Linked DNA regions of Lytechinus pictus. The main gene of each other region encodes a partner of the protein of the gene in region 2 in a complex. Links are inferred from orthologs where the notes say so. Each region holds a gene or a part of one and is shown on either strand. Other genes may lie near its edges.

Region 1 (15,709 bases), on a different chromosome or scaffold from region 2:
GCTTATTTCAAAGAGACAAAATATTAAAACTGATTTTTAACGTGCATGCCAATGAAAACCATCCAATATTGAAAATATTGGACGAAATGAATATTTTGCCCCACCCACAAGATTATCATTGGTTAATAAATGATTGTGCGCATGAAGCTTTTGTTACGTCACAATGAAATTTCGTCGCGTATTAGTTGCCAGGTGTGGTAAAGGAGAGTCAATTTATTGAATTCAAATGCGCTTGCACTATACGCTTGCGCATCTTTACTTCATTACAGAGATTTCTTTTTTTTTAAATGACAATACTCAGGCGCCATGCTCATGATTTACAGGATTGCCATAATTGATGGTTACTAACCTTTTTTTTGGGTTCATTACTTTATTTTTAGCTTTGTGGGGGTATGTAAATAATAATAATAATAATATTGGATGACCAATTTTCGTGAGATGCGTAGAAATATTGTTACTCGCTGAAGAACAATATTGGATTCGTCTTCGACTCATCCAATATTGTTCTTCAGCTCGTACAATATTTCTTTGCATCTCACTCAAGGCCATCCAATATTTCCTAATTATCACCCACATTCTCAACCTTAATTACATATTCATCACTAAAAATGAAAAAAAAATGCTGTTTTTTGCTTGTCAAATTTTTCCTCGGGAAAATGGGCCCTCCCCCCCCCCTTGGAAAATCCTGGATCCGGCCCTGATACTCATGGCACTTTTTAAAACCAAGACTAGTCACATTATGGAGGCTACAGCAGAACACTCTCATCTGAACCAAGATTGAGTATTCCCTCTCCCACCATAAGCTTACCATAGAATGTAAGATATCCAAACAACGATGCTATCATATACAAGGTGTAACAAACTCCAATAGACGTGATAGTAACATTCTGCATCCTGCGCTTCGTTGGTCTACAGGAAATTGCAAAAAGAAGAGAAAGTTAGTATATATATGCTGCAGGTGTGCATTATGTTAATATATCAGAGATGATCCTTTTTTTTCTTTTCATTGCCAGAATTTCTCACATTTGCTGGAATATTCTCTGTCAAACTATATCAAGGTCATGCATTTATCATGAACATATTGTCCCATTATCATATGGTTCATATGCTTCCAAAAATAAATGTCATAATAATTTGCAATTTCATACAGATAATTCATCACTCAAATTCTTGATTAAGTTTGATGATTATATACATTTCATTTAATTGTTGCCAAATACTTGTTTTAACAGATTAGTGGATAATTGATGTTGATGCTGACAATTTATTTCAAAAGGTGAATTATGATATTATATAACAATTAATCCACATCACAAACATTCACATAAATAAATCTGAGTATAATGTGTTGTGGTTTTAATGTAAAGCTTACTTTTTGAGAATAAAGGTTATATCAGCTATTAAACACAACAAAGCAAATATCAAAGTTCACCTTTGATACCTGATTCTATGTACTAGTATATTAAAGGTAGAAGATAGTAGTTGCAACAAACAATTATTTCATGAGAAAGTCTTTAAAATCAAGGTTAATTGTCAAAATATCATCATATATCTAGATCTGGTACATTAAAGTAAGCTTATCTTTGGGAAATCATGAAATCTTAGCTCACCCTTGTAAAAAAGTACCATACAGTACCATGGTACACTATGGTATTACCATAGTATTACCATAGTAATACTATGGTAATACCATAGTATACCATGGTACTGGATAATTCTGATGATCATTAACACAGAATAGCAAATGTGGGATAATGTAGGCCCTATTAATATTGCTAGGAAAAATACCCGACATTTGATGGAATTCCGTGCTTATTTTGCTGATTTCTCAGCAATTACGCATTTTCTTCCAGAGCCTTTTGGCACATAGGGTGGTAATTTTATTGGATTCTGTTCAAACTTTTGAGATTGTTACCACAACTGGTATACCTTGATAATTCTGCATAGATTGGAAGTACTGCTGTGTGGCACACGAAGGAGAAAGCCATTGTCGGTATAGTGTATGCTGTCTGATGGTGAAAGTAAAGGAAAAACAACAAAACAATATATATGATAACAAACAAACTGAGAAATGATGCATAAAAGAGGGAATGGTGTTTGAAAAGAAGAAAACTGACATTAAATAACTTTTGCACTAGACATATCCATTGCACACAGAATCTGCACATCTCAGACTTTATAAGGGTCTTCCTTTCTTTAAAAGCATCGTCATACGCCCAAGAAAGCCAATTGGATATTGGTGAAATGTCTCAACAAGTAAGCTGTATTTCCAGTGATTTGATCTGAAGTCTTTATATTCAAATATGACCAGATGGATGAGAAGAATTTACATCAGTTTGTAGTATAGAATGATTACTATAAAACAGCTAGGCAGGTATTTAATTGAAAGTATTGATTCTATACGGTAAGTATTTTACTGAGCATTTTACTTGGCTAAGCAAAATGCTTAAACTAGTGTTCAGATCACATCCAAGTATTTTACTTTCTCAAGCCAAACTTAGATTTAATTTCAAACAAAGCCCAAAAATGCAAATTGAATACCAAACATGGTGAAGTATTTTACTTCAGCAAAATACTGAGTAAAATACTTAAAATTCTGGCTTAAGTATCAAATTTCATTTCACTTGAAATATGATCACAACATCATAAACTAAACACCAGATGCTCATTTGATGACAAACTTACAATTATGGTAACTATGCCCAGTAGCCAATCAAAATCAAAGTATCCATAGTATTTATGAACAGGCCCATATATGTACAGTCACAATAATGGGATTGTTACCTGAAGAGTGATAGTAAATAGCTTGGCCTTGCATTGGTTGGTCTGGTTATCTTTAGGATGGTAGTACATATAGTTTTCAAACATATTCTCTAAAGTGATATTTGGTCCTGGTGTAACAGGAATAGGGCATGGAAATCCATACTTCTTATACACAATCTGGAGAAGAAAGCATAAGAAAACATTTTTTTTGAGAAGGTTATCCCTTTGACAACATCATCATCGATGTACATCATCATCCACATCATCATTAACATCTTCATCATCATCACCATCATCATCAATCACCACCACAACCATCATCATCACTAGCATCATCATCATCATCACGAGCATCATGACCACCATCACCACCATCATCACCATCATCACCACCACCATCACCATCATCACCATCATCACCATCATCACCATCATCATCATCACCATCATCACCATCATCATCACGAGCATCATCACCACCATCACCGCCATCATCACCATCATCATCATCATCACCATCATCACCATCATCATCATCATCATCATCATCATCATCATCATCATCATCATCACGAGCATCATCACCACCATCACCACCATCATCATCACCATCATCATCATCATCAACTCACCCCCACTGTGAAGAAGACCATACATAGAATGGAGAAGGCACTGGTGTAACCAAGGAAACCGATCTTTGGCAGGCAAGCCAGGGGGAGGATGACCAATAACACAAGGAGTAGGACCAAATAGTCACCATTTACATACCATTCACTGCATTGAATTAGGAGTGTAATAGAGTACTGAAGTGTGACATGATGAAAATACAAATTTTGCATTTCATTGTTTCTCATGTCATATCTTGGAGGTGCATGACAGCTAAAATTTGCTAGGAATTGGTTCAACGGGGCCCAAGATATGACCACATCAGGGGCCGCGGAAACGGGGGGCCTCGAGGCCCCGCACTTTTTTCCAAAACGTGTACAAAAACGTAAAAATTACCATCTGATTATGTTTTTTTGCATAGTCAACCCCCCCCCCCCCCTCTTTAAAAACCGTTCCGCAGTCCCTGCACATGAATACTGAATTAGCCCTATTGAAGTCAATGTATTATTGGCCTGGTTCTAAATAATTAACTTTGAACTTGATTATGTGACTTGAAATTAATACAAATGATGAGTGATGTCCAAGTTTTATGAAATATAAATAATTTGATTTCTATGTTATGATGAAATTTCAAATTTTAACCTTGGTTAAGATTTTGATGATGATCTCTGTAGCCGCAGGCAAAACAATTAATTTCATATAAACATAAAGTTCATTTAATGAATACATGCATATTCTATATTCAAGTAAGAAGGCATTTTGATTTTGTTGTACATGCACTGCATGAAAAATCTGCATGTTATGCTTTTGCCAGTGAAAATTTTTGATTTCCGGGTGAGGGGTGCATATTTTCAATGCTATTAGTACATCAATGTTCATAATAACCTGCCTCAGAGGCAATTTGACATTATGAAAATTGAGATTGATCAAAAATATGATGAAAATAACAATTACAACTTTAAAATTTATGAATACTTGACAAGACACTTACTTTGCAGTCTGGTCTTCATGTAGGAACGTCTTGAGAACTGCTGGCATCTCATTCTTTACAATAAATAGATAACTTGACATAGCTGGGAGGATAGACAAAATAACATTACTAAGTAAAATTTAATATAAAATATTGTACTTTCAAGTTCTAATCAAATGACTGATAGTGATGACATAAGTAATCACAGAATTTGTGACATTGGTCATTATATTTTTATCACAAAATATCTTGATAGTTTACTTCTAAATACAAACTATTCTTATTTCAAAGGCATTTGGCAAACATTATTCAATCAATATTTTCTGTCAATATGTATGCAGACAATACACTAAAAAATGTTGATAATCTTTTGTTTCCCTTTTTAAAGTTATAGAATTTCAAGAAACACTGAAATATACCATTCCTTTTAAATTGGAATCTAGCCCATCAATACTAGCATTCAAATGAAGGATAAAAATATATTATAAGCCCCTACCATCATCAGTATTGAACTCAATTCTTTTTACCAGGTTAATTGCTTTTAAGGTATTTGTCTTAGTGATTTATTTATTAGTCCACTTTCCTAAATACCCATTTATTCATGAGCTAAGTTTGAAATTGACCCGTAAAATCATATGGTTTTCTTGAGGATGAAAAGGTGGAAGGACAGATGACCCTAAAACATAATGCCTCCAGCAAACCACCTTGAGGTTTATCTTAATTACATCGGAGTAAATCATATTACAAAGAGGAAAGTTAATTGTAATAGACTCATCACTCATCATTAATAATGGAGTAAATCACCCCTAATTAATATTACTACTGATATGATGATGATTATGATGATAATAATAATAGTAATAATACTACTACTAATAATAATAATATTAATAATGATGATGAAGATAATAATAATAATAATTATAATTATAAAAATAATAATAATAATAATAATACAAGAACTAAATATTAGATCCTCTACTCACCACCAACATTTTGAAGGAGTATAGCAGAAGCTGCCATTAGCTATAACAAAATCGACAAAAATTCTCATTGAATTTATTTTAATACAGTTTCATAAATAGGGAAGGAAATGAGACAGATAGTCAGAAAATAAAAGGAGGGGTTTTATCAAGAGAGTGCACTAAACTAAGACATGACACTAAAATATGAACATAACATTTACTCAAATAGTAAGGGACTAAAAGCTTACCTTGCCTGGGACACCCATTGCACTGTTCCCTATATCTTCATATGACCTATGACCTGTGATGTCACACATCTTCAGAAGGAGGTGGATTGTGTAGTTTGCCATGACAGCGACAAGCAACAGCATCACACTATGGAAAAGGACAATAATAATCATTAAAAATACTTGGTCTATCTTCATCCCCTGATAAATTTCATTGTCTTGAATGTAAATTAAGATACACTTCATAACCTGCCATATTATCATAATGAATATTTTGATCATCATAAATGCCATCATCATTATCATCATCAATGTCATGATCAACATTATTATTCAATTTAACATTTCAAAGTATAAATCCAATTTACAAGAACATATATAACAAATAATTACAATTGACAAATAACACATGCATCTGCATATTTCTGAGAGGCATTTATCATTTTATGGGTGTTCATCCCACCGCTGCCACCATAATTGATGCTGAAAGAGGTAATTCCTAGTGTAACCTAATATTATACTAACAATCAGGTTCAATGGCCATTTGGTCCAATCACTCCAATTGCCACTTGGTCTAATTCCCACTTGGGCTAATTGTCATTGAGAAAGAGATATCAAATGGTGTTAGTAACACTTCATCTGATGACCAAGGTCATTTTCAAAAAGTTACATTTTGCCTGATCTTACACGTTCACATATACAACTTGATTATCAATTATATTTTCATGAAGAACTTGAAATCAGGATTGACTCCCTCTGTATAATTAGAAAAAAATAATATCATATTTCACGCTTTGCACTTCCCTTTTTTTCCCTTTTTTTTTTGCTTGGTGGTGAAACTTGGCCCCCATAGCTTCAAACTTTCATGAAATGGATCAAATGTGTAATACCTGAAGAGGATAATACCAGATTGTGCCATTGCATAGGGTAAGCCCAAGATCCCACTCCCTAATATAGCGTTCATCAAATTGAAAACTGATAGTCCAAAAGATGTCTTCCCTGATGTAAAAGGTTCCACTCTTTCCGTCATTGCCTCCTGTAGAAAAAAAGATTACCAATAAACTTTTTAAAGAGAGATAGAAGGGAAGGTAGCACGTACGGGATGGCAAGTGTCTATATTAGTGACTAGCAAGGATGGGCCAGGATGTAAAAGCGTTATTAGATCTATTCATTTATTTATTTATTGCAAATGTTTATCGAGAGTAGCCTGTTAATTCAGGCCCTTGATACAAAAATATACACAAATATAACCACTCATAAAAAATTACTCTGCATTATTATCTTCATACATAAAAAACACAAACATGAAGAAAACAAAAACATTTCATTATAAACTTAGTAGTACGATCATGCATGATGACGATTGATGAATTGTTTGGATTGATGACTACGGTAGTCACACAAAGGGACTAGTACTAGTAGTACATCAATTTTCATGTTTTGTGTTGCAACTTGCATGTTGTTGTTACTTGACTTGCCTGCTGCACAGAAGCTGAAGGTAATAAAGGTGTATCATCCATAATACCATGGTATACTATGTTGTTTGATTGTTCATCTGCATCTTCTACACAGCTCCCGCCTAAGCGATGACATTTTGGCTCCATTTCTTTTCTACTAAAAAGCCTAAAATGCTAAATTAAAGGTATACTATTAACTGCACAGCACTTAACTTTATTCATTCATTCAATATCAACGAAAATATAAACATTGTACCTGAAATGAACGGTAGAGGGCTCTTGTGAAAATGGCGTCACCAGCCGGCAGTGCGGGTAAATTTAATTTTTTTCTTCTTACCATTGTTCTAACTTTCAGGGTGTAATGTTGGGTTAATTTTTTACTTGAGTATAATATGAAGGTAATTGGAATTATCTTAAAATAAAATGTGTATATTGTCATCTTAAAAGTACAGTCTTTTGACATTGTGGTGTTGTTGCGATTGCCGTGATCGTGAGTGTGTGTGAATGAATACCGTAAGCTTTTCTGCAGACCACCACGCTCCGCTCCGGTGACTGTTCGGCGAGCTCCTGCCTTTAAAGTTACCCTGGCTGTACCAGCAGCTTGCTTTCATGATATTTGGTGGAAATGCACTTTCGTATCCATATGCATACAGAATGGCCAGTAAAACCAGGGTGACCAGATTTCACAAATGAAATACGGGACAATCGACAAAGCACAATGCACGAGCGGATCGACTGAGCCATGCAGTCCTTGTCTTGATTTTAATTTTTTTTTTAAATGAACAAAGTCAAACTCAAAGAAGGGCTAGAGCCTAGGCCACTCATTGGGCTAGGCTAAGTAAGTTAGCTCTAGCCGACTTTAGTTTTGAGTTAAAATTGTAACAAATTTAAAAAAAAGGAAGGGAGGGTAAATGAAAAAATGAAGGAGAGAAAGAAAAGAGATGAATTGAGAAATGAGAGGAAAAAAATGAAGGGGAAAAAAAGATAACCGAATAAAAGAAGGTTGAAACGGCAAGACTTCCATATGTCCCCTCCACTAAAATTGAAAAAGAAAAAAATATGGAGAAGGTTTATCAAGAATTATCTAACATGTATCTAAGAGATTTAAGAAGGAAAAGTTGGATACATACCAAAATATGGCTTTATTCCGTCAAAATTTCGAGCGTGTGTAATTCCCAATGGCATCGGTTTATTTAGTCAGAAAAATAAATGCCCAGCCCAATACTCTTGGAGAGTAGACTAGTCGTAATATCAGTTGATATGAAATTCATACATCACAGAAAATGCCTCTTCTTTATTTGTTGACTAAATTTCAAAATGTTTCTTCTCTGTCATTTCAAGTATGATGATATATATGATTTTCTGTTGACCGATTTTGATTTTTTTTCTTCAATCTGGTAGAGCTGCATGAGGTTCACCAAACTTGTACACAAAATTTTGAAATTTTGTCTAGAAAATTATTTATGCTAATTTATGCAAAATTTATTCATAAACACAAAAAATGTTTTTTCTTCTTCATTTGTTGATCAATTTCAATTTTTTTTGCTTTATATGATAGCTCAAGGTGGTGATTCAAAATTTCAACACAGAATTTTGAAACTCATTCAATATGCTAATTTATTCATATATTTTCAAAACTCACAAAAAATACTTATTTATTTGTTGATTGATTTTGATTATTTTTGTTCCATCTGAGAGCTACATGAGGTTCACCAAGGTACTACACAGAGTTCAGAAATTTTGACGAGAAAATTATTTTTGCTTAATTTATATGAAATTTATTCATAGATTGCAAAAAATGCTTCTATGCCATTTCTTCATCAATTTCAATTCTATATCCTCAATTTACCGTATGTCACCAATATAATTCACTAAAGTGTCAACTGGGCTGAAATTAAAATTGTGTTAAATTTCGCTGCGAGATGCAGGATGAGCTCCACATCATTGATGTGCTAGTATACAGTCACTGACGGTAAATGGATTTGTGGCCTTTTTCAAGAGTTATCTTCAAATGCCAGCTTTTAAATAAATCAATGATTTTAATTGGAACAAATTACGAAAACTGTATGCATATATTGTTTATGTCAAACACACATATCAACCTATTGATGAAATCTTAGTTTCAGGCAGAATTACTATATAAACATAAAATCAATACCCCAAAACATACATCATTACAATACACAGGAGTGATGATTGCCAGGAAGATTATGGCAAATGGCAGTGATGAAATAGTTTACAGTCAGACCGCAGGTCCCTATGCTAATGAGCAAAAAGGCCAGATTCATCCAAATCATCTCGTGGCTGAATCCTCCTCCTTGCAAAATCTTGTGATTCGTGAGATTTTCTTTCTCTAAGAATTTACCTGTTTTAACCTCAAGTTAAATGAAATATTATTGCACCATCAGATAGAGTAAAAGTTACTCTTTCATATTGGTCATTTATTTTGTATACAATATTTTGTTAAATAAGTAAATTTCTGGCCTGAAAATGTGCCTCAAAACTGAATTTTCTTCCTCTGTTTTCTTTTGCAAATTGCGCAAAACTTTTTATTTTGAGCCTCTATGATATTTATATCAACATAAAGCTGAACTTCTGTACTTTCTCACAATGCCACTTTTGATATGCAGCACCTTTTAATCGGGTCAAGATCACACTTTTCCCACCAAGGTACAAGACGAGATTTCAGAAATTTTGTACTTGCATGAAATCCAGAGTTCCGATTGGCTGGATAAGAGTCACAGAACAACAGGCGCAGGGTATTTGAGGAGATTACCACATGGGAAGTGTGACCTTCCCACGAACCCAGGCACTGGAACCGTTGGAATTTGCCAGTGTGCGGTCTCTTTGACCAATCAGAATGCAGTATTCTTGTTTTCAAGCTGCTTTATGTACTTGGCAAATGAAAAGTGTGGTCTTGACCCGATTAAACCAATTCTTATTTTGAAGCCTATATCATTTCAAAGCATACATATTCAGCTTTATCGTGATATAAAAATCATTTGGGCTCAAACAAAAATAAAGTGTGAAAATAGCAGCTTTTGTCAGGTGAAAATATTTATTTTGTAGCATATTATTTTAGATCAAAATTTTAACCTATATTACAAAATCTTTGAATAAATCCAAACACATGACCTGAAAAAATGATTCTTCTTCTTTACAATGGTACCAAATTCATGAAATTCGATGCACAATTAGAGCAGCAATGACCGAATGAAAAGAGGTGTTTTGGTCCGCATCAAGCTCATTAAATATGCAAAACATCTCAAGTCATGAATATCACTTGGATGAAAGAAGCCACTTTCTTGGGACCTGCAGTCTGACTGTTTACAAATTAATCTTCCTCGCCTTAGCTGCTGCAAGTTGATCAATGATGAGATCAAAATTGACTCTTTCAGTTTCTTCTTTCTCCACACTCAGTAGAGCTAGATCACATAATTTGTCTTGGCCCATGGAGGCTCTCAAGTATGAGAGGATGAGTTTCAACTTGCTGAATGATCGCTCACAGCTGGCGATAGATACAGTGATTGTGAGCATTATCTGAATAGCAATGTGAAGGTCTGGGATTATTGCTGTAGTTGTGCTTCTTTTAGGCCGTAATCACATGAAATAGACGTAAAGGGAAAATTCAGATTTACTACCATGGAATACATGTACGCGTCACTCTTGCATGGAATGTCTGTCTTCATTAGATGTGAAATTATCCAGTCTGGCAGTCTCAGTTCTACCCATTTATTGATTGTTGATAGTCGTTGATTTGTTGCGCATGCAATGAATTGTGCAATTAATGATGTTGGGAGCCCTCTTGAGAATGAATTTAAGGCAAGCATGAGATAAAGTTTGCATTTTTCAATTCATTTCTGCAAAATGTCTGCTACTATGCCTACTTGCAACATTTTAATTCATTGTATGCTGCTGCAAACTTTCATGCTTGCCTTGAATTCGTTCTCAAGAGGGGGCTTGCGACAATTGGGCAATAGATATGAGACAACTGGTTATTTCTTCTACTCAATCAGCACTTTAATTGCCTATATGTTGAAATTTTAAAGGGTTGGATTGACAAAAACTTCTCACATTCACACAATATGTTTGTTTGTTTCTTTCTTTCAACAGATCTGGAAGCAACTCTCCTGAGTTTTGAAAGGTTGGACCGTGCATCCCCAGAGCTATGGCCTGAGCAAAGTAAGTGTTATTATATGGGGTGGTTTGTCAACATTTGAAAATCCAACTGTGTTCACAAAAAAAAAACTGTTATAAGTCCCCTTACCTAACGCTAGTGCAACTTAGTGGAATATGGTCAAATCATTACTAACAGAGATTAAACCAAAAAGGTGGTGTATAGAGATAAGGCCACCGCACACCTTACAACTGGGCCAAGATTTGATTATGGAACAAATCGCATTTTGCTTATTTTCTGAAAATTTGAATAAAAAGTATCTTTTTATTTGAGGATCAAATTAACTGAAATACTTACATGTATATAACAATTTTGGATGATTACCAGCCTTTATTTTGGAGTAAAGCCTAAATTAGTTTCAAATCGTAGCCAATTGTATGATTGCCATGAAGTCATTACAACTAGATATTAAATTTGCTTTTATTCTAATAAGGATGATAGCATAGTCGCAGATTTAAACATAGGTATTCATACAATGATTTAGAACATTACACAGTAAGATATTCCATGTCTCAATATTAGCATCAACTTCTACTTCGTTTTATTCTAAAATCTGGTTGCAGACCAATCGTAAGGTGTGCGGTAGCCTTAAGGCATTTGAGATGATTGGTTTAATACTCCAAATAACACCCTTTTGGGTAGAGTGTATCAGTTCAGATTGGTCTCAAGAAATGCTTGTTATTTATATTATGGTACACTATTTTATGGAAAAAAAGTAATTAGTATGAACTTTATTCTTAAGTTTTCTTTTCTTTTTTTCCCTCAGTTCCTGGAGTATCCAATTTTGCTGATATCAAGAGTGTAAGTGCAATGTATACAGTAGATTTATTCCACTGTTATTTTTGCCTATCCCCCTCCCCCTATTTTGCTAAGTGCATGAATTGGGATGGAATTAGAATTGGGATGAGAATATTTGGGGATATATTGTGAACAGTTGACCATTCTGATGAAGTTTTGTTAATATTTGCTCATCAATCTTATCTATTTGACTATTCCATTTCTTTTACATTTCCATCCTTTAGTAAATTATACATTCCCATATCTCCAATGGCTTGACATTATATGAATAATATGAATTTTTCAATATTTATTTCTTAGCCTTTCAACAATGCAAATTCACCGCCTTGGGAAGCTGATTTAGAGAAGAATGACATCGATATGCTCAATGGTAAGGTTTTATTGTTTTTTATAGCCATAGTATAGCACATAAAAAATCATTCGGCCAAATTTAAGAGATGGTTTAGAAAATTTATTTTGAAAACATAGTTAAGTTTATGCAAATATCTATCTTTAATTATGCATGAAGCATTCATTAATAATTGACTTTAGTTATACTTTTACCATGTGACATTGAAGTTACAATTAATATTATGATTTAAGCCAATCTTACAATTCATATTGTAAGTTTATCACAGATAATACACCAAAATAGGGTTGATAACGATTGTAAGATTTATTGTATCTTACGTTAAAGGTACAGAATTGTCATGGGGGAATCGCTTGACCAATCCCAAATTTGCTGAACCCCCCTCCCCCCCCACAAAAAAAGTAGTATTATTGGCACTGTTCATGTACCCAATTGATTTTGGATAGGAAAAAGCTTGTGGAGATACCAGTTGCTTCATAGTCAAAGCATGAACATGTGTTTTCTTTTTTATTATTATTTTTTTTCTGTATTTATATAATTTTGTTTATTTCCTTGACAGAATTGGGTAGTTTAACCACAGCCAATCTAATGGAGAAAGTAAAAGGGCTGCAGAATCTAGCCTACCAACTTGGCTTAGAGGAAGGTGAGTTTTGACATTCTTTCATCCAATCCTGCTGAAATGGGGAGATCCCGTCTTGATACCTGCTGGGTTGTTTTGATAGAAGCGGTAGAATAAAAACTGGGATGCTTTATAAAGCTGTCCATTAAGTGATATAAAACTTAAATGAATGATAGAAATATTACCCTTTTTCTATCATATTATTTCTCCCTTTATTTTACACACTCTGATTGTGCTCAAGGGGGCATTTAATGAAAGTTATCAGCACTGACTTAATTGTCAGTGCTGACAATTTCAGTGAAATCCTTGCTTTTGATTGGCTGAGAGGCACTGGCATCTGACTGTTACCATAGTAACTATCAGAGAAAATCAACTTGTTAGTGCTTACAACCTTCATGAAACGGTCCCCAGGATGCTAGATGCTATTTGAAAGATAGTGGGTAAAATTTGAGAATTAATATGTAAAACGAATGGAAAGTTGTCCATTTGAAGCATATGTTGTAGTTTGAGAATCTCTATAGAAAGTAAAATACTTTGAATTTCCATTAGTCTTTTTTTATAAATGATTTTGATTACACTTTTTTATATTGATCTTCTCATTTTACTCTTCTCAGATTTATTCTCTCCTTTGGTTTTGGTTTCTTTTTAAGCTTTATCATATTTACCATTCTATTTGAGTTGTTTCCAATATCATTATTCACCATACTCTTTTTATTTGACAACCATAGTTGTCTTACATTGCCTTTTTTTTTCTTCTTCTCTTTGCAGCTCGTGAGATGACTAGGGGAAAGTTTTTGGATGTTCTATCAGGTAGCAACAAGAATAAGAAGAAATGAAAATTGTCTATAAAATTCATCTTATATAGCAGAGACTCTGAAATGATGACAAAAAGAATGATCACTCAACTGATATTTATCTGCCTAAAGATTAGATAATAAAAAAACAACCAAAGCCTTGGCCTTGTATTGCACAAAAGTTTGCAATGAATACCAAATATGAAAGAACTATTGCGATTGGTCCTGATCCGTATTTGAACAAGATGCAGATGCAACAATGATCTTGATTGGCCAATGGTGTTTAGCTATTGGCATCCTTGCGTTACGGAGTGCAGGGTGTGTTTCATAAAGCATGTTGTCAACCTTTTAACTGACAAATTGGTCTAAGCACATCAGATGCAAGGATATCAGTTTTCAGGGAAAATCATTAACAAATTGCATCATGAAATATGATTTGGATCATACTTTGATTTTCAGCTGCTGGAAGTCCTTAGATACCGATATTGGTCATGTAAAGCTCAGAGGATATTTGTTATGAGTCAGCTCTCCAGCAATAAGGTTTTGCATTCTGAGAACAATAGGCCATTTCCTTGCTGCAATCATATCAAATACAAAAGTCTTGTGGAATGTAATATTAAATCCCTCCCTTAGCCAATGATGATAATAATGATAATGTATTTCAGTAGTATGAATGCAATTTAAATTATTTTTGTTTTGTGCCACCTCGCCTGGGTTATTTTAGTACAGTGTACAAGATGGGTTTGGCAAGTCTCTTCATTGGTAAATATTACAATATTTTCATTCCCCAATTGTTTTTTAATCCCAATATTTTTCTTGTTAGTCTGGGGGGGGGGGATTGCTATAGATTGTGTAATCACGACAAAATTTTGCTGATTGGTAGAAATCATTGTAATCTCAGGGTTTGGAAAGGTACATTTTTCTACATAGTTTTATTTGATAATGATACATTAATGACTTATGGTAGAAAGAGAAATTGCATTTGGTGTGTAATAAACCACCCCTTCCCCGGGCTATGTAGGGTTTATGTGAACCTGTAATTAGATGTTATTTATGTTTAGTTTACATAAAATTCATTTTTTTCCTAATCTGGTTGTAAAATTCATGGTCATTTTCAGACATGTTGAAGTCTGAAATTTAGTAGTATTTATTGTGTCATGTAGGAGTCTTAAACAAATATGACATAACCACATTTTTGTTCAAGATAAATTTTAATCTAAATTCTTTATTATTCAATATATTGCATACAATTCTTGTAAACATTTGTATAAACACATTAGAGAAAATAAGGCATGAAATAAAGAAAGCACTATCTTCTCTTTTTGTAAATAAAAAAGTTATTTATACATTAACAATCGTCTCATTTGTGTTTTATGAGTATATATGTATATATGATTGTACTGCAGCCTCCATACTACTGAGTGTTGCTAAGGCAAGCACATATGCCCGCCTGTAACACGGAAAAAGGAGTTATTGGTCAAGCAAGGTGACTTCACCTTTCTTCCTGGGATCAATGCTAGTATCATACACACCAAATTATATGAGCCTAGGTTAAGTTAAAATGAAGTTATCGCTTTTACAAGGACTGCAGAAGGGTAAGATGAAAACATGTCACTGTGACCTTGACCTTTTGATCTCAAAATCATTAGGCTTCCTGGGATTCATGCTAGTATCATACACACCAAATTATATGAGCCTAGGTTAAGTTAAACTGAAGTTATCGCATTGACAAAGAAAAGTTGGACAGACAGACAGATGCAGTGGCATATCTAGGGAGGGGCAAAGGGGGCATGTGCCCTGGGTGCCACTTTTGGGGGGAGGGCACAAATAAAAGGAAAACAATAAATGAACCCAAATGGTCAACTTTTTTTGCGTTTCAGGCGGGCGTATTATGTGCTCGCCTTAGCGACACTTTTTTTTTGTATGCAGAAAAGTCAAGCTTAAGGAATAAAGTCGCAGAAAAGGAAGACCACTGAAGACCCCC
Region 2 (15,818 bases):
CGGAAAAGCGGCGCCTATAGTCTCACTCTGCTATACAGGTGAGACAAAAATGTGCCATTCCCAGAAGGTAAGTGAGAATTATTTGCTTGGCTTTTAATTATATTCCAGTCAGAATAGACTGTTGCCACAGCTGTTAAAAAATATTTGTAATGGCTTCTTAATTTCCCCTTTTCCCCATGTTTATATTAATTTTGTTTTATTCATTTTTCTTTCACTTTCTTTTCTTTTTTTTCTCTCTAAATTTTTTCTTTTCTTTTTTTTCCCTGTTCTTTGTTTTTTTTTCTTTCTTCATTTTCTTTCTTTTGTTTTATTTCACTTATTTCTTTTATTATTTTTGTTTTCTTTTTGTAATATACTTTTTGAAAATTATTTTCATTTGTTTCCCCCTTTTATGCATTGTTCTAATTTTGCAGCATATTTTTCTGTGATTTTCTCCTGCTATAATATGCTGCAAAAGAGAAAACAGAAATAAACTGGATTTGGGGCCTGCATAATCTAGGATTTAGGATTCAAAGAGGAAGAAATGAAAAACCATTGTTTTGTACATCTATCTTAGTTTACTATGCACTATTTATTTATTTTACCATTATGAGTGTGTGTCTATACAGAGATTTAAAAAAAAGTCCACACAACCTGCGAACAATAAAATTCATTTATTCTCTTTCAATCATTTCATTTTTACAACGATAGAAACAATTTATATTTTACCACAAGCCAATTAGCAAAGTAAAATAACAGCAAACAAGGTTTACATACAAGATGATTAAGTGAAAGTAACTTAGTGGTAGTGGCTGCAGAATTAATATTTCAGAAGTTTGTTTTATTAATTTTTAATGTGTTTCTTTATATTTTTCGGACCACCAAACTTTAATATCGGGCCACCAAAAAAAATTATTTGATGGTTTTGGTGGCCCGAACGGGCCACCACCAAAAAAAGTTAATGTGGAGCTTTGTATAAAGGATTATTATTTATCATCATCTATAAAGTTTTAGCGATGCATTAAAAAAAGCATATTTCGGTCTGCATCAATTGCCTGTGCAGTATCAGAGCGTATCCCTAAATGGACCAAAATCTGAAGAATATCCCATAGGCTCCTGTACAAAATTTGCTATTGACTATGAGAGCATATTCAACAGTATAGTGCACATGCACAAATGCATGAAATATAAAATGCGTAGAATTAAATCAATGCGATGCGCAGCATAGAGCACGACGCTCAATGACGTCATAATGAACTACATGTAAGTCGCATGTCAACTACCAAATTTTATCTTATGAAGTAATGATGCCATTATGTGATAAGCGATGTGACTTGTTCAGTCAAATTTCTCCCTCTTTTTGATTGCTGGGGGTGGGAAAGATGAAATTATATTGGATGGCTTTATTTCATGGAATACCAGAAATATTCCACTCGTTAGGGCCAATATCCCACTCATCTACGATTCGTGGAATATTTGCCCAAACTCTTGGAATATTTCTGGTATTCCATTCTGAGCCATCCAATATAATATAACTACACAATTCTGATACAAAATCCAATTCAATTAATTTTGTTGTATGATCAATTGCAATGCATTTTCATGGGGCCTGGGTCCCATGTCAAAAAATGTTTGTAAGTTATGGATGACTTCATGCACGACTGATGGCCCTATCTTCTGCTAAATGATATTTCCTATTTTGCTAACTTAGCACGTAAAAACATGTTCTAGTCATTTGTAAAATCACACTAAAATTTTCTAAGAGCTTTATCAAACAACATCCTAAGGCTCCATAACGTAAAGCTTAGACATTGATCACAGGAATTATTTTTACAATTGTAGGAATCAGCTCAACTATCAACCACTAAACTTAATGGTCTGTATTCTGAAGTGTTTAACTTAGACCAGTCTTACTATGTGCTGAGATTATGGGGAGCCAAATATTCTAAAATTCTGTTTATATTGTATATTTCGAATATTTATTAATTCGTTTCCTTTTGCTTTCATAATGAAGAAATATGCTTCAGTTATCATTCCCAAACAATTATCAACAATGTGAGTGTCAATTGAGATAAAAGAGAGGATTGGTACTGTTAGGGATCCGTTCCCCAATCGGCTTTCCATAGTTAAACCACAACTTAAAACCAGGGTTTAATTTAAACCTGAGTTCAGAATACGGGCCTATATAACTGGGTCCTGGACCTGTAACACAAAGCTTAGTCATCATCATAGAACATTTTTTATGGTTTGTTTGCATTGACTACAATAAACACTCCTGAAGACGGACAGTCAACCTGCCCGAAACGTCGAGTCTCTCTACTACTCATCATCTCTACTCGCCGACTCAAGCCAGCATCTCCTCACTAGCTCTACTACTCAAGCTGTTCTCAACTCATCAATCTTTCCTGGTTTACAGTCCTTTTCAGGACTACTTTCAAGAAAGAATACTCTACTCTCAAATCTCCACTTTCTCGCCTATCCATTTCTTCTCTTCTCCTATCCACTGTTTCTACAACACTTCACATGGTGTACCGTAAACCACATCAACGATTGTACATACCACCATGCAAACCTTCAAACAACATCCGAATAAACAATAAATCGTATTACACTCAGCCCAACGATCTATGACTAAGTTAAATATCACTAGGCCCTGAACTTACTTGTCAATGTTTGAGTAGAAATATTCATAGATGCACCACTTGTACGCCTTGGGCAATTTCAGTAGGTTCTTGAGGCGCTGTCCCAGCTTCTGGGCGGACTTCTTGTAAGACACATGGCCGCTTCCCCCTGCTGCGGTGCTGGCGGATGAAGACGGCTTGGACGGCATCGGAGCGGGGGAGGGATTATGGGCAGAAGACTTGGAAGCACTAGGACGGGGCGGGGATACGAGCGTTGGGATTGATATATTCAGTTTTGTGGGCTGCAAAGAAAGGAGTAGATGGGAATTTGTTTTTAATCAAAGGCAAGTATTGATATTGAAATCATTGACACAAATTTTTTTTCTTCAAATGCAATATACAGAGTAGTTTTTTTGTTTTGCTGGTACATCCATTTGGAATAATTTATTCTGTTATTCTGGCATTATAATAGCCTTAATCTATAATCTGGCCTTTTGTGTTGTTTTATGTTCTCTTCTCAGGTTGTTTGTCTTAACTTTACATTGTATGCTTTTCATAATTATATTTGTAATATTTATACTTTTCTTGTAGGGCCTCCAAGACAACAGTATGCCAGTTACTGATGGAGCCATCCTACCAAAACAAGACTAATAAATAAATAATACTTTAAGTTGGGGTGGAATGACCCGGGGCCCGTTTCATCAGACTTACATAGTTGTTGTAAATTTGCTATAATTTAAATTCCACATAAACCTTGATATTGCGATTGCTAGCAAGTGCATTGATGAAATAGCCCTCATTATTCAAAACACATCAAATCTTACTGTTCTTTGAGATGGCGACATCTTAATTTTTTTGCTCGGTGAAGCCCTAATGGGAGACATGGATGTGTCCTCATCATCGTTGAATATCCTCCGATTTTTCTTCCGGATTCTTGTGGGCTGGGATGACAAATTGAAACAGATACATTCAAATGTAAAAAGTTATTCTTCTGTATCATCATCATCATCACCATTATCATCATCATCATCATTGCCATCATTATTACTATGATCATTGTTATCATCAGAATTATCATCCTTGGTTGCATGTCATAAGGTGGTCCAATTTCGCGAACAGGGTAAAAATTGTCAAAAATTTTATTTTTTGATATGTTATAGCTATTACCATTCTCTAAATAATGGAAAAGTTTTAAGTCTCGAATACCTTTATTTTTCCTTAAAATGACTAATTAACAGATAATTATTACATAGACGTCCATGTAAATGTGAATTTTGAAATGTGTTTTTTTCAAATTGGACCTGCTGCACATAAAATGGTGTCAAAAGTTAATGCAACATTAGATCACCCTAGTAAATTGCAGTTATAATCTTGAAACATCAATAATTAAATCTGTACCAAAAATTGAATAATTATCTATCATTGTATGCATATTAATTATACTAATTAATTAACAATATTTAATTTCACATTTTTGCCCCCAAAATACCTGTCACTGTATTTATATGCTTGGCAAAATGACAACATCATGGGTAGAAATGTTTGTTGCAATGATACACAACATTTGTACTAAAAATCAAGATTACAAATTAGATAATTAACCAAATCTCTCTGGTTTACTAATTGATTAGGTTGCAGATCAGAGCTGACATACACATGTATTCCATTGCTGCATATTTTCAAAATTGTCAAATTTTTATGACATTTAGTTGTTCCCTGCTTTAAAATGCCCAGAAATATGAGGATAACAGTCATATTACATATTATAGTAAGTTGTTTATTAGGTTTAATTAATATTTTATCATTTACCGCATCCACCGGCTCCGCCACCCGTTATTTCAAACTTAATGTGCTATAGTTTTTGTTCCTGATATTGTATTGATCTAATTCATAGTAATATATTTAGCCTATAGTTCTAGCTTCAAAATGAGATATTACTCAATAAATTTGGTCAAGATGCTGTGATGTAGCAACAATTTATCCATGGCACCGTGTGGAAAATTGTTCATACGCCACCCTTTTTGCATACCCAACTTATGAAATGCGACCCCTTATCATTTTGATTATCATCATTGTCACTAATCATGATTATTCAAAGAAGTAGAAGTATAGTTATTGTTATTATCATCAATATCACAATCATACATATCAATGATCATTATTATCACTAATTTGGATTATCATCATTATCACTAATACATGTATTTTATCATCATCATACTTACATGCCCTCTCCTTGGCACGGATGGAGTAGTCCTCGATGGTGATGCCTTACTCGGACTAGGGGCCGGTGACGGGGAAAGCTTAGCCTTCCCTGCACTTCTCAGGCTCATCAAAGCCTCTGCAGATGCTGCATTAGCAAAGAAAAAAAAAACAGTGAGGGAACGAACACCACCCACTTGGGCCACAATGGTTATGATGCCACAGGGAATGATTTTACTGGTATTGCATCGCAATTTGCTCCATATTTATTTCTACTGCTACTGTATACATGAAGTCTTTTGACACAGGACTGTACAGATCCTAGTTGGGAGCTTTTCTCTTATGACCAAAAATGCTAATCAAAATTATTCCCTGTATTTTTCTTGATGTTCACGAGGGCCGTATTTGTCTAACAAGGGCGCGCGATTTATATTCATATCAAAGACACTACTACAGTAGAGGCGCCGCTCCAAAAATTGGGATTGTCCCAGAAAACAAGGATATCCTCAATAAGCCAAGACAAATTGTGTCTTGATAAATTGAGATTGTCCTTGTTTATGGGGAATTTTTTTTCACTTACCCCTGCAGGACATAGACGGCAATTACGGGGATTGAGAGTGCAACAAATATATTCAGTGACCTCCATTCCCCCAGTTCACCATCATTTTCACGACTTGCCGTCTTCCAATAATGTTATGAAACCTGATATGTTTACATTGACAAGCACACTCGATTGATGTCGGCACTTGACAGGTGAATGAACTTTCCTAGATTTCTTGTGTGGATAACTCTTTGAAAACTGAGACAGTCCCTGTCAACTGGGACCATCCCAATATGCTGACCGGCGCCTCTACTGCTAGGTACTCAAACTATTTTACACGCAAATCGATGTACCGGTAGATCTAAAGTGCTACGAGAGTCAGGGAAGTGTCCAATATTTTCTTTGTATAGACTTTGGTATATCGTTTATGGACAAACGAATAAAAGTTAGTACTGCTGGTTTTGTTCAAGGCACATAGAATTTTTCTATTTTTAATAAACTTGTCGTCACTTTAAATGATTTTTTAAAAAGTTATAAAAAATTATCATCACCAATAATAATTCAAAAGTATGTTTATTGCATTTATTGGTGCCGATATTTTATCAAATAATCATAGAAACTGCGCATACATAGAATTAGACAATTTACCAACGCGCTAAATTAAGGTTGTGAAATTTATTAGCACTATCATACTGGGCTTCCTTTAGTTTTATTTCTGTGGGCGTGGAAAAGACATGCGAACAGTAGAGGCGCACTGCCAATATGGGAGACTCTCTCCAATATGGGAGATTGTCTCCCATAGTGGAGACTTGCTTTGCAAAAAGAATAAAACAATACCAACAAAAGCGTAATTTTTTCCATCCAAAATTTTGTCTCACTTAGGTCAGAAGCCCTTTTGTTTTGTGTGTGGGTAAAAAAAAAATCATTATCAAAGCAAAAGTAGACAGTGAATTTTTAAAGTAGACGTCTAAAAAGGGTAATTTTTCATGAGGAATCTGCTTATCACATTTTTATTTGCCGTCAAGGTAATTCTTTTGCAGTAAATGTAAACAAAAGAAATTGGTCTCCCAATCTGGTGACTGTGTCTGAAATTGGATACCCAAATTCTTTACAAAAGTCTCTAATATTGGAGATAATCTCCCACATGGGAGACAGTCTCCCATATTGGCTGTGCGCCTCTACAACTGGCAAAACAACTTTCCAGGCCGAGGTAAGCGATATTGCCATTTTTTATTTGAGATTTCAATATAGAGACTAGATCTAGAATCTATAAAAATAAAGAATTAAAAGAAAATCATTGTCTAAGTTTAAATCATTTTGACTTATTTCTCGATAAAACAATAAATCGGATAATCACGACTCGCATCACTTTTCAGGCAGCATGCCGAGACTAACTAAGTACTTAACTCCAGGGGGGGCAGTCAAATATATTGCTGTACACACGCGTGACCAAAAAAAAACGTTTAAAGGGGTGTTTTTTCAGTTTTGGACGCGGGCCGTGCGTGCACTCGTCAAGGGTATCAAAAACACAGATTTTAAAAAAGGGGTAGGCCTAGTTTTGAAAGACTGGTCAAATGTATTTAGGGTGTTTTTTTCCAAAGGCAAGCCTTTTTTAAAGACTAGCCAAACGAGTTTAGGTTAGAACCTCTGTTTTTTTCCCCAGCCCCGGGGTCATATTCTGGCGACAACTTGTTTAGGGGCCAAAATGTGTGAATATTAATAGCCCGCGAAAAACTTGATTAGGGATTATTTTGCACACATAGAAAAACTCATTTAGGGTGTTTGGAAATAATTTGGCCATGCGTGTGTACAGCAATACATTTGACTTAACTCTAACATGTCGTTAGTCTGACTCTTATATTAGCTACACCAAAAGCTTCGGTCTCTGTATATGTATGTTGGTGGTTGCGTTGGCTCTACTCACCAATTAACGTTACACTGTCACTAGTTACAGAGACCGAAGTTCTAACTCGATCGGTACAGGGAGTAAAAAACAACGGCCATATGTTTATATATTAAGTTCGGATCAACCAGGGAAGTTGGAGTTGCGCGACAGCCGAAGTAAGTCACTATTTTTCCACTTATAAGTTTATTTTTTCCCGTTTTGGTGCATTTCTGGCCAAAACAGAATTGAACAATCTTTACTTTACTTTAGTCTTTAGTTTGTCCAGTTCTTTTTATATATTAAATCTTTATGAAATAAAGACAAAAATCGATGAGCCCCATCGGGGGATTTTGCATTGTTAACCAGCATAATGGTGGCTGCACGATAGCGAGCCGTCTGTGTCAATGTCTGTGTTGTGTACGACGAGGAGAAATTTGTTTTTGAAAATAAAATTAAAAACAGACGGCTGCCAGCTGTCTAATGACTAATGTTAGCAGGTTAGGAGTAAATGAATGGCAAGATCCTTAACATTCTCCACGCATACTTCAGATTCTTAAATTTGTTATATGTTCTAGATTGAACTTTAGTTTCACTGACACTGGTCACTGCACTGGCCACTGCGCCAGGCCAAGGCAATGACTTCGCGATAGATCTACCACACAGTTTTCAATATATGGGACTGGAAAATAACCAGCGTCGCGGAATACCGTCACGAAAGTAATTGCAATTAGGAAGCACAGAGATGCAGCAATAATGCCAAAATTGATTCAGACCATTATCTCACTTTCATCATCAATCTCATTATCTACTCCAATAAGCATACAACACAGATTAAATGTAAAAGCAATGAACTTGATACAAACTTTCAAGAGCTGTGTCCGCCATCTTGACGCGCCTCTTTTTGAAGAAACGAGATGCATTGTGGGATATTAGGCTATTTTTAGATCGCGAAGCGATTATACTAGCGCAGCAGCGGCACCAAGATTTTTTGTTGGGGGGGGGGCACTATAGCGTACCTAAGGGGGAGCGCAGACTGCCCCCCCCCCCCCCCCCGACGAGTCACAAGCAGAAAAAAAAACGAAAAAAGGGGGGAAATAAGAGGAAAAAAGAAAGAGAGAAAAAAGGGAAGGGGAAAAAGAAGAGTTTAAGGACGTTCCACAGTTATGTTTGTGCGCATCATGCTCTGTGCATATTTTACACTCTGCGCGCTGACGTCACAATGGATGAACAGGTGATTATTCAGCTGTAGGTATGAGCTGATTTTTCTCCCTATTTGCAGTAACTGCAGATCCGGGGAGCGTTTCATCAACATTTTTGTCCGACAAGTTGTCATATCTGACATCTTTCCTTAATTCTGATTGGCTGAGAGGTACTGTTACTATGGTAATTGTCGGATAAAACAGAACTTGTCGGACAAAGTCCCTTCATGAAACGCTCCCCCGATGTGTTATCTTATGAAGCTAATAAACTGGAATTATTCCGTCGACCATTTTGTTAAATACCTCTACAATTTCAAAATGTTTTACTCTGTAGTGCTGCAAAGTATGACGAATATGACCCCGAGTTTGAATAAAATAGTGGTAGAGTGGTTTGGAATTTTTCATCACATAGATACAAAGCTTTTGGCGCATTTTGGGGTGCTTTGAAAAGCACATTTGCTCTAATAAATGCTGATAGTTTTTAAAACAACCACATGAACCCATATTTATATTGTTTGCACCTCTTAGGTATACCTTCCTCTACAACTTTACAAAGTTTGGTGAAAATGACATGGGTTTTGAATAAAGTGCAGCATTTCTTGTACTTCTCAAGTTTGTTATTGAAATTTCACATTTTTGAGGTTGAGTTTTTGTTATCTTTCGCGCAATTTCTAAGAATTGAGAGTGCTGTTAGACTTGAAAAGCAAAAAATTAATAGCAATATAAATACATTATCCATCGTAAGGATACAATTATTAATTACATTGCGAAATTTGATAAAATTTTCATGGATTTTGACTGAGTACTAGAGCTTTAAATTATTATTGTTGTGATCTCGTGAGGTCTAAAAATGCCAAATTCTTTTGGATGCGCAATTCTTAAAAACATCATCCATTGGGGTTAACTTTGAAGCTCTATACCAAAAAATCAAGCACATGGACCCATGTTAATTTTTGCATATTTGGAATATTCAGGTGCTAAAGTAACTATGTGCAAAGTATGATGAAAATGACATGGATTTTAAATGTTTGGGAGCAAGACCACGAAACCATTCGCATTTTAAACCGTATTAACAGACTTTTGCTTGTTTTCGGCGCATTTTGGGCTGTTTCAAGCCAACTCGCAATACTTTGGACACTGATAATTTGAAAACGAGCACATGGACCCCATAGTTTAAATGTCTTAACTTCTTAAGAATATATTCCTCTACAAATCTAGAGGGTATGACTGATGAAAATGACATGGATTTTGAGTGTTTGGGAGCAGAACTAAGGAATGATTCGTATTTTAGACATTTCGGACGGTATAATAAGACTTTTGCTTGTTTTCGGCGCATTTTGGGCTGTTTCAAGCCAACTCGCAGCCGTTTAGACACTAATAGTTTAAGAATGAGCACATGGACCCCATGTTTTTATATTTCAACGTCTTTAGAATAAAATCCTTTACAAATCTAGAGAGTAGGATGAAAATGACATGGATTTTGAATGTTTGGGAGCAGAACTAAGGAACCATTCGTATTTTAGACATTGTAGACGGTATAAGGAGACTTTTGCATGTTTTCGGCGCATTTAAGGCTGTTTCAAGCCAACTTGCAACATTTTGGACTCTGATAGTTCAAAAACGAGCACATGGACCCCATATATTTAATATTTTAACGTCATCAGAATATATTTCTCTGCAAATCTAGACAGTATGATGAAAATGACATGGATTTTGAATGTTTGGGAGCGAAATATGAAACCATTTGCATTTTAGACAGTATTATCATATTTTTTGCTTGTTTTCGGCGCACTTTATAATAGGTGGATTTCAATATTTTCAAGCCAACTCGCAACATTTTGGATACTGACAGTTTAAGAACAAGCACATGGATCCCATAATTTTAAAATTTTAATGCCTTTAGAATATATTCTTCTACAAATCTAGAGAGTATGATGAAAATGACATGGATTTTGAATGTTTGGAAGCGAAATATGGAACCATTTGAATTTTAAAGGGTATCATTAGACTTTTGCACGTTTTCGGCGCATTTTAGGTTGATTTCAATATTTTAAAGCCAACTCGCTACATTTTGGATACTGACAGTTTAAGAACGAGCACATGGACCCCATATTTTTAATATTTTAATGCCTTCAGAATATATTCCTCTACAAATCTAGAGAGTATGATGAAAATGACATGGATTTTGAATGTTTGGAAGCGAAATATGGAACCATTTGAATTTTAGAGGGTATTAAGAGACTTTTACATGTTTTCGGCGCTTTTTAGGCGATTTTCAAGCCAACTTGCAACACTTGGGACACCAGTAGTTTAAAAACGAGCACATGGACCCCATATTTACAATATTTTAATGCCTTCAGAATATATTCTTCTACAAATCTGGAGAGCATGATGAAAATGAAATGGAATTTGAATGTTCGGGGGCAAAACTACGGAATCATTCTCATTTTAGACGGCATTATTCACTGGCGTAAATCCGTGTTGATGGGTGGGGGGGATGACTGAAATATTTTGGCATTTTTTTGCAATCATGTTTTTAGATATGCAAGGAATTGTCATTGATATGTCCACAGTGGCGTACCGTGTGTCACGGCATTGGGGGGGGGGGGGCACCAGCAAAATTTTTGAATGACTGAGTGAGTGACCTAATAGAGACATTTTAAGGACAATGTCATTAAACGGATATGTATCTCACTGATCAAATAATGCGAGCGCGAAGCGCGAGCTGAAATTTTTTAATATTCACACCTAAAAAGGGACATTATAATCAAATTTGTGTATTCATGATAGGTACCTGTCTCGCTTAACAATGCGAGCGCGAAGCGCGAGCTGAAAACTTAGATAATTCAGACCTGAAGTGGGGCATTCTAAGGTTTCTTTGTAGGAATTAACTTGGACCATACGTATTTCATTAACCAAATGATGCGAGCGCGAAGCGCGAGCTGAAAAATTTTGTTAATCAGATCAGAAGAAGGGACATTTTAAGGACTGATTTTAGGAATTCATGAAGAGCAGACATATCTCACCAATCCACTAATGCGAACGTAATCACGGACAGGAAATGTTTCATATATACGAAGACCTTAACATGGGGCAATCACTTTTGAGTCATGAAAAAGAAGCACATGTCACTACATAAAACAATGATAACTCAAGTGCTAGGAAATATATTTGGTTTATATTGACTTGAAAACGGGATGTTTTAGTACAACATGATTATATATCTCGTTAAACAGACAATGCGAGCAACAGGAACAATGAAGACGTAGGCCCTGGGCAAATTATGTTTCATAAAGTTATGATAAAAATGTTTCTTATGTAATGTAACTTAACATAATTATAATATAACATTATAATGAATAATATTTTCTTCTTTCCCACTACGTTTCTCTCCCTTTCTCCCTCTTTTCTCCTTTCCCCCTTTCCCCGTTTTTTTTGTCAGCCGATGGGGGGGGGGGGGGATGTGCCCCCCATGTCCCCCGTAGTTACGCCACTGTATGTCCATATGGCAAATACCCCTCCAATATTATTATCTTTTTACCCCATGATGGTTTAATGGTTTTATTAGAGATTACATTAAAAAAAAATTGTCATTCCATCTTAATCCCTTCCCAAAGACTCCAACATTTATGAATTTGAAGAAACGGGGGGTTCTCTTCAATGTTATAATAAGGACATTAGTATTTTGTTTGGAAATGGTGAACTGGCTCTTTATTTGCATTTTATGATTCAATAATATTATTTTATTTGTTAAGCGGTATTTTTGGAAGAATTTTCACCAATAAAACAATTATCTCTTGTGATTTTTTTTTTCATTTCTTTCGTAAAAAGTGGGGGGGGGGGGGATGTTTGTACAGGCCATCCCCCCTCCTCGAAAAGTGGGGGGGATATATCCCCCCCATCCCCCCCGGGATTTACGCCAGTGGCATTATTAGACTTTTGCAAGTTTTGCGCGCATTTTGGGCGATTTTCATGCCAACTCGCATCACTTTGGACACTCATAGTTAAAAAACGAGCACATGGACCCAATATTTTTAACTTCCCTACACCTTTGATATGCATTCCTCTACAATTTATCCGAATTTGATGAAAATATGACATGGATTTTGAAAAAAGTGCAGCTTACAAAATACTTTTTTAATTTTTGAGTAGATTTACGTTTTTTAAAATTTGTTTTTTCCGAGTTTTTGCACCATTCTTGCGTGATGAGGGCGCTGCTGACTCCAAATAGATATAGTTTTACCAATTAGAATACTTTCTCTTACTTTAGAATGTCCGGTTTTCAGGTCGGAATATAAAAAATCAAAAATATATCATTAGAAACCATGCGCAATTTGTTCACGGTTACAAAATTGCTCAAGTTCTTCGGTCGGAATATGAAAAATTCAGCTCGAGCTTCGCACCCGCATAAAATTCCATCCTGTTCATGATTAAATGAAGTGCTCAGAATGTAAAGTTTTCAGGTCGAAATATAAAAAAGGTGCTTAGAATGTCCACATTTCAGGGGGGAATATATCAAATCCTCAGGTCGCTCTTCGCGTGTGGAGCGTTGTGGCCCAGTTGATTAGTCTTCTGACTTTGACACGGAGGGTCGTGGGTTTGAATCCCAGCCATGGCGTAATTTCATTCAGCAAAAAATTCATCCACATTGTGCTGCACTCAACCCAGGTGAGGTGAATGGGAACCCGGTAGGAAGAAATTGTCTGAATGCTTGAGCGCCTAGGCAGCCCAGCTACAGCCGGAGTAATAATAATAGCAGGGCCCACTGGGAGAATAGTTTTCAGAACTGAAGTGGCTTCCCTGGGTAAATATATACCTTTACTATTATTTTTATTATTCAGTTAGAAACTAATTTGTTCATGGTTACTGAAAGTGCTCAGAATGTCTAGTTGTCTAGTAAGGAATATCAAAAATTTTAGCTCGCGCTTCGCGCTCGCATAATTTATTTAGGAAGATACCCATCCTATACATTATTAAGTGCACAAAATGTATCGTTTAAGGTCTAAATTTTTAGAAAAAAATCAGCTCGCGCTTCGCGCTCGCAATTATTATTTTTATATTATTATTTTTAACTGATTTCAATGTGAAATACCTCATTTATAACGTCTCCAAATGAGCAGAATTGGGAACATAATGTAAACATCTTCAAAGAAAAAAAAAATTAATATAAACATTGCAATTACCACTTGATTAGAAATATATCGATCTGGATCCAATACATTTCATTTCTGGAATGATATACAAAAAAAAGAATTAATTTTGACAATAAAGTGCAATCGCCCGATGGCAAATATCAGTAGTAGCAAGATTCAAACTGTTTTATTGGGCACCCCTGGGTAACCTTTTCCACCTTCACTGTCACTGCCAGACCTACACATCCAAACGTGTATATAGGGGTGGGCTGCAAAATTCAGGGCAACGAGGACTGCGAGGTGCTCAAATATCCTCGTGTATTGGTAATTTTATGACCGAATGTATAATTTCTGCATGTTTCACATCATGTAAAAATGCTAAATAATAATTGAAAAAAATGTTCGCTCGCTTCGCTCGATCGAAAATTAAAAACTGTGATGGTGATATTTGGGCAATGATTATCAGCCCCCTTGAAAAAATTGTGCCTATATACGTCCATGCCTACTAGCCCCCACCTTGTTCATCCTTATCGCTTGCCCCCCCCCCCGACGAAATATGCCAGGTACGCCACGGGGGGGGGGGGGTAAAGTGGAGGGCAAAAGAAATGATTGGAAAGGCCAAGCGAAGATTTTTACTGAATTTCTTCATAGGGGGGAATAGAGTTTCAGTTCAATACAATGAATGGCGGGGTGGGGGGGGGGGCATGCCCCCATGCAGATGAATATGGTGCCACTCCATGCAATAATTAAGCTAAGTTGGTCTACTCGATCTTCAGATAGGAATTAAACATGGGCTAAGCTAGTTGATCATCTATTAGCTCGCATGATATGAACTTGGTCTAGATCTAATACCCAGTTGGTCTAATTTCACTTCGTCGACGTTATTATTATTATTTTTTTACTTTGTCAAGTTATAATGAAAGTTTGGTTTGGAAACACTTTCTATCCCATACATTTGCAATTAGATGAAATTCATGTTGCAGACTTGCAGTTTGACAATATAGGCCCTTATATATAGCAAATCAGTTTAAACTCCTTGTTGTAACGAGTAGGCCTACATCAACAATCAATTGCAATTAAATTCACCCCCCCCCCAACAACAAAAAAATACAAGATGAAACTGATGTTTATTCGACATCCAATAGATTTTTGCATTCTTGCTACACACCCCACACGGTTTCGTCTAATGCAAATTCGTCCAATTTCCAACTCGTCTACTATCATTTCGTCTACCATCAGTTCGTCTACTCACCACATGGCCTACTTTCATTTAGTCTAATGCCTTTCCGTCCGAAACCAGTTGGTCCAATAGCCATTTAGTCCATACATTTATTGGTCTAATTGGACTAAGCGTTAAATTGTGCCAAATGAATGAAAATGAAATGGATTTAGACCAACTGGTTATGAGACGAAATGGTCATAGACGAAATGCTGGTTAGACAAAGTGATGATTGGACCAATGGTTAATGGACCAAATGGTTGTTATACGAAATGTTGATGGACGGACTGGCATATTAGACTAATGTGGTGAGCAGACGAGTTGGCAGTGGACGAATTGGCAATTTATCCCCCACACGCGTCCTAAGTGTTAGGCATAGCTTTAACGGATAATTAGACAAAATGTGTATATGCTAGCCTATAGCTGAAATTAGATTACGAGACCCCTTAGACAAATTACAATAATTGATTAGACCACTCGAGTATCAGACTCCCCCATTCCTAACCTGTTTATATGATCGTTTTGATTATAATTATTTACATAAAATATTGCTATATGTTTTCCTGCTTTGATCGATTTGATTTGATTTGAAATAAATGAAATGAAAATGAAAAAAATTCAGACGAACAGATTGTAGACGAAGTGAGATTAAACCATGTGGTAGTGTCATGTTTAAAATAAAAACTTGTTATAATAACAAATGATCAGTTTCACTATCAGCCAATCAGTTTGAGGGATTTCAGTAGCTTTTAACTTTTATTGCAAATTTGTTACTATAACAGGTATATGAAACAAGTCCCATAAATCATACGAAGTGTATATATAGGCAAATTGATGATTTGTCTGAAGAAACTGGTGGGGGCCGGTGGAGGTCGATATGGTCAGGGCCAGAGTTTGATTTTTTTTTTATTCTAGGGAACTTTATCAAAAATCACAAAATGTGGTCTTCTAAATGGAATAAAAATGGGGGAAGGGGTGATGGTAATCTTGGAGGGCAAAAAATGGTGTTCGACTTCTCTACCAAACTTTTCCTTTATTTT

Evidence for each region.
Region 1: the proteins of protein lin-9 homolog (region 2) and protein lin-52 homolog are in contact, whole or in part, in a crystal structure (PDB 6C48), measured with the Homo sapiens proteins. The link is inferred for Lytechinus pictus from reciprocal best matches to the Homo sapiens genes LIN9 and LIN52. Residues at the interface, in NP_001353174.1 of Homo sapiens: Leu335, Gly336, Phe338, Phe342, Leu343, Ile344, Val346, Thr347, Leu349, Ser350, Lys351, Leu353, Met354, Lys356, Lys357, Ile360, Leu363, Arg364, Asn367, Thr368, Ala370, Glu371, Lys374, Ile382, Phe384, Gln385, Tyr388, Ala389, Val392, Leu395; in NP_001019845.2 of Homo sapiens: Asp61, Met64, Leu65, Leu68, Gly69, Leu71, Thr72, Thr73, Leu76, Met77, Val80, Leu83, Gln84, Leu86, Ala87, Leu90, Asp93, Glu94, Glu97, Met98, Arg100, Gly101, Leu104, Asn105, Ile106, Leu107, Glu108, Pro110.

What each region holds. Positions count from the first base shown.
Region 1 is NC_087251.1:29,393,155-29,408,863, reverse strand, and holds protein lin-52 homolog, read left to right. Parts: upstream 1-7,213; 5' UTR 7,214-7,244; coding exon of another isoform or gene 7,245-7,275; coding exon 7,276-7,300; coding exon of another isoform or gene 7,301-7,328; exon of another isoform or gene 7,329-7,343; intron 7,344-7,500; coding exon of another isoform or gene 7,501-7,599; exon of another isoform or gene 7,600-7,784; intron 7,785-11,101; coding exon 11,102-11,170; intron 11,171-11,931; coding exon 11,932-11,966; intron 11,967-12,263; coding exon 12,264-12,333; intron 12,334-12,871; coding exon 12,872-12,955; intron 12,956-13,699; coding exon 13,700-13,767; 3' UTR 13,768-15,080; downstream 15,081-15,709. Other genes in the region: probable sodium-coupled neutral amino acid transporter 6, read right to left, coding at 809-909, 1,930-2,009, 2,785-2,940, 3,396-3,537, 4,361-4,442, 5,326-5,365, 5,553-5,679, 6,422-6,567 and 2 more.
Region 2 is NC_087253.1:17,762,111-17,777,928, forward strand, and holds the start of protein lin-9 homolog, read right to left. Parts: upstream 8,158-15,818; 5' UTR 8,114-8,157; coding exon 8,092-8,113; intron 4,951-8,091; coding exon 4,826-4,950; intron 3,542-4,825; coding exon 3,425-3,541; intron 2,903-3,424; coding exon 2,643-2,902; intron 1-2,642. UniProt on the Homo sapiens protein: Acts as a tumor suppressor. Inhibits DNA synthesis. Its ability to inhibit oncogenic transformation is mediated through its association with RB1. Plays a role in the expression of genes required for the G1/S transition.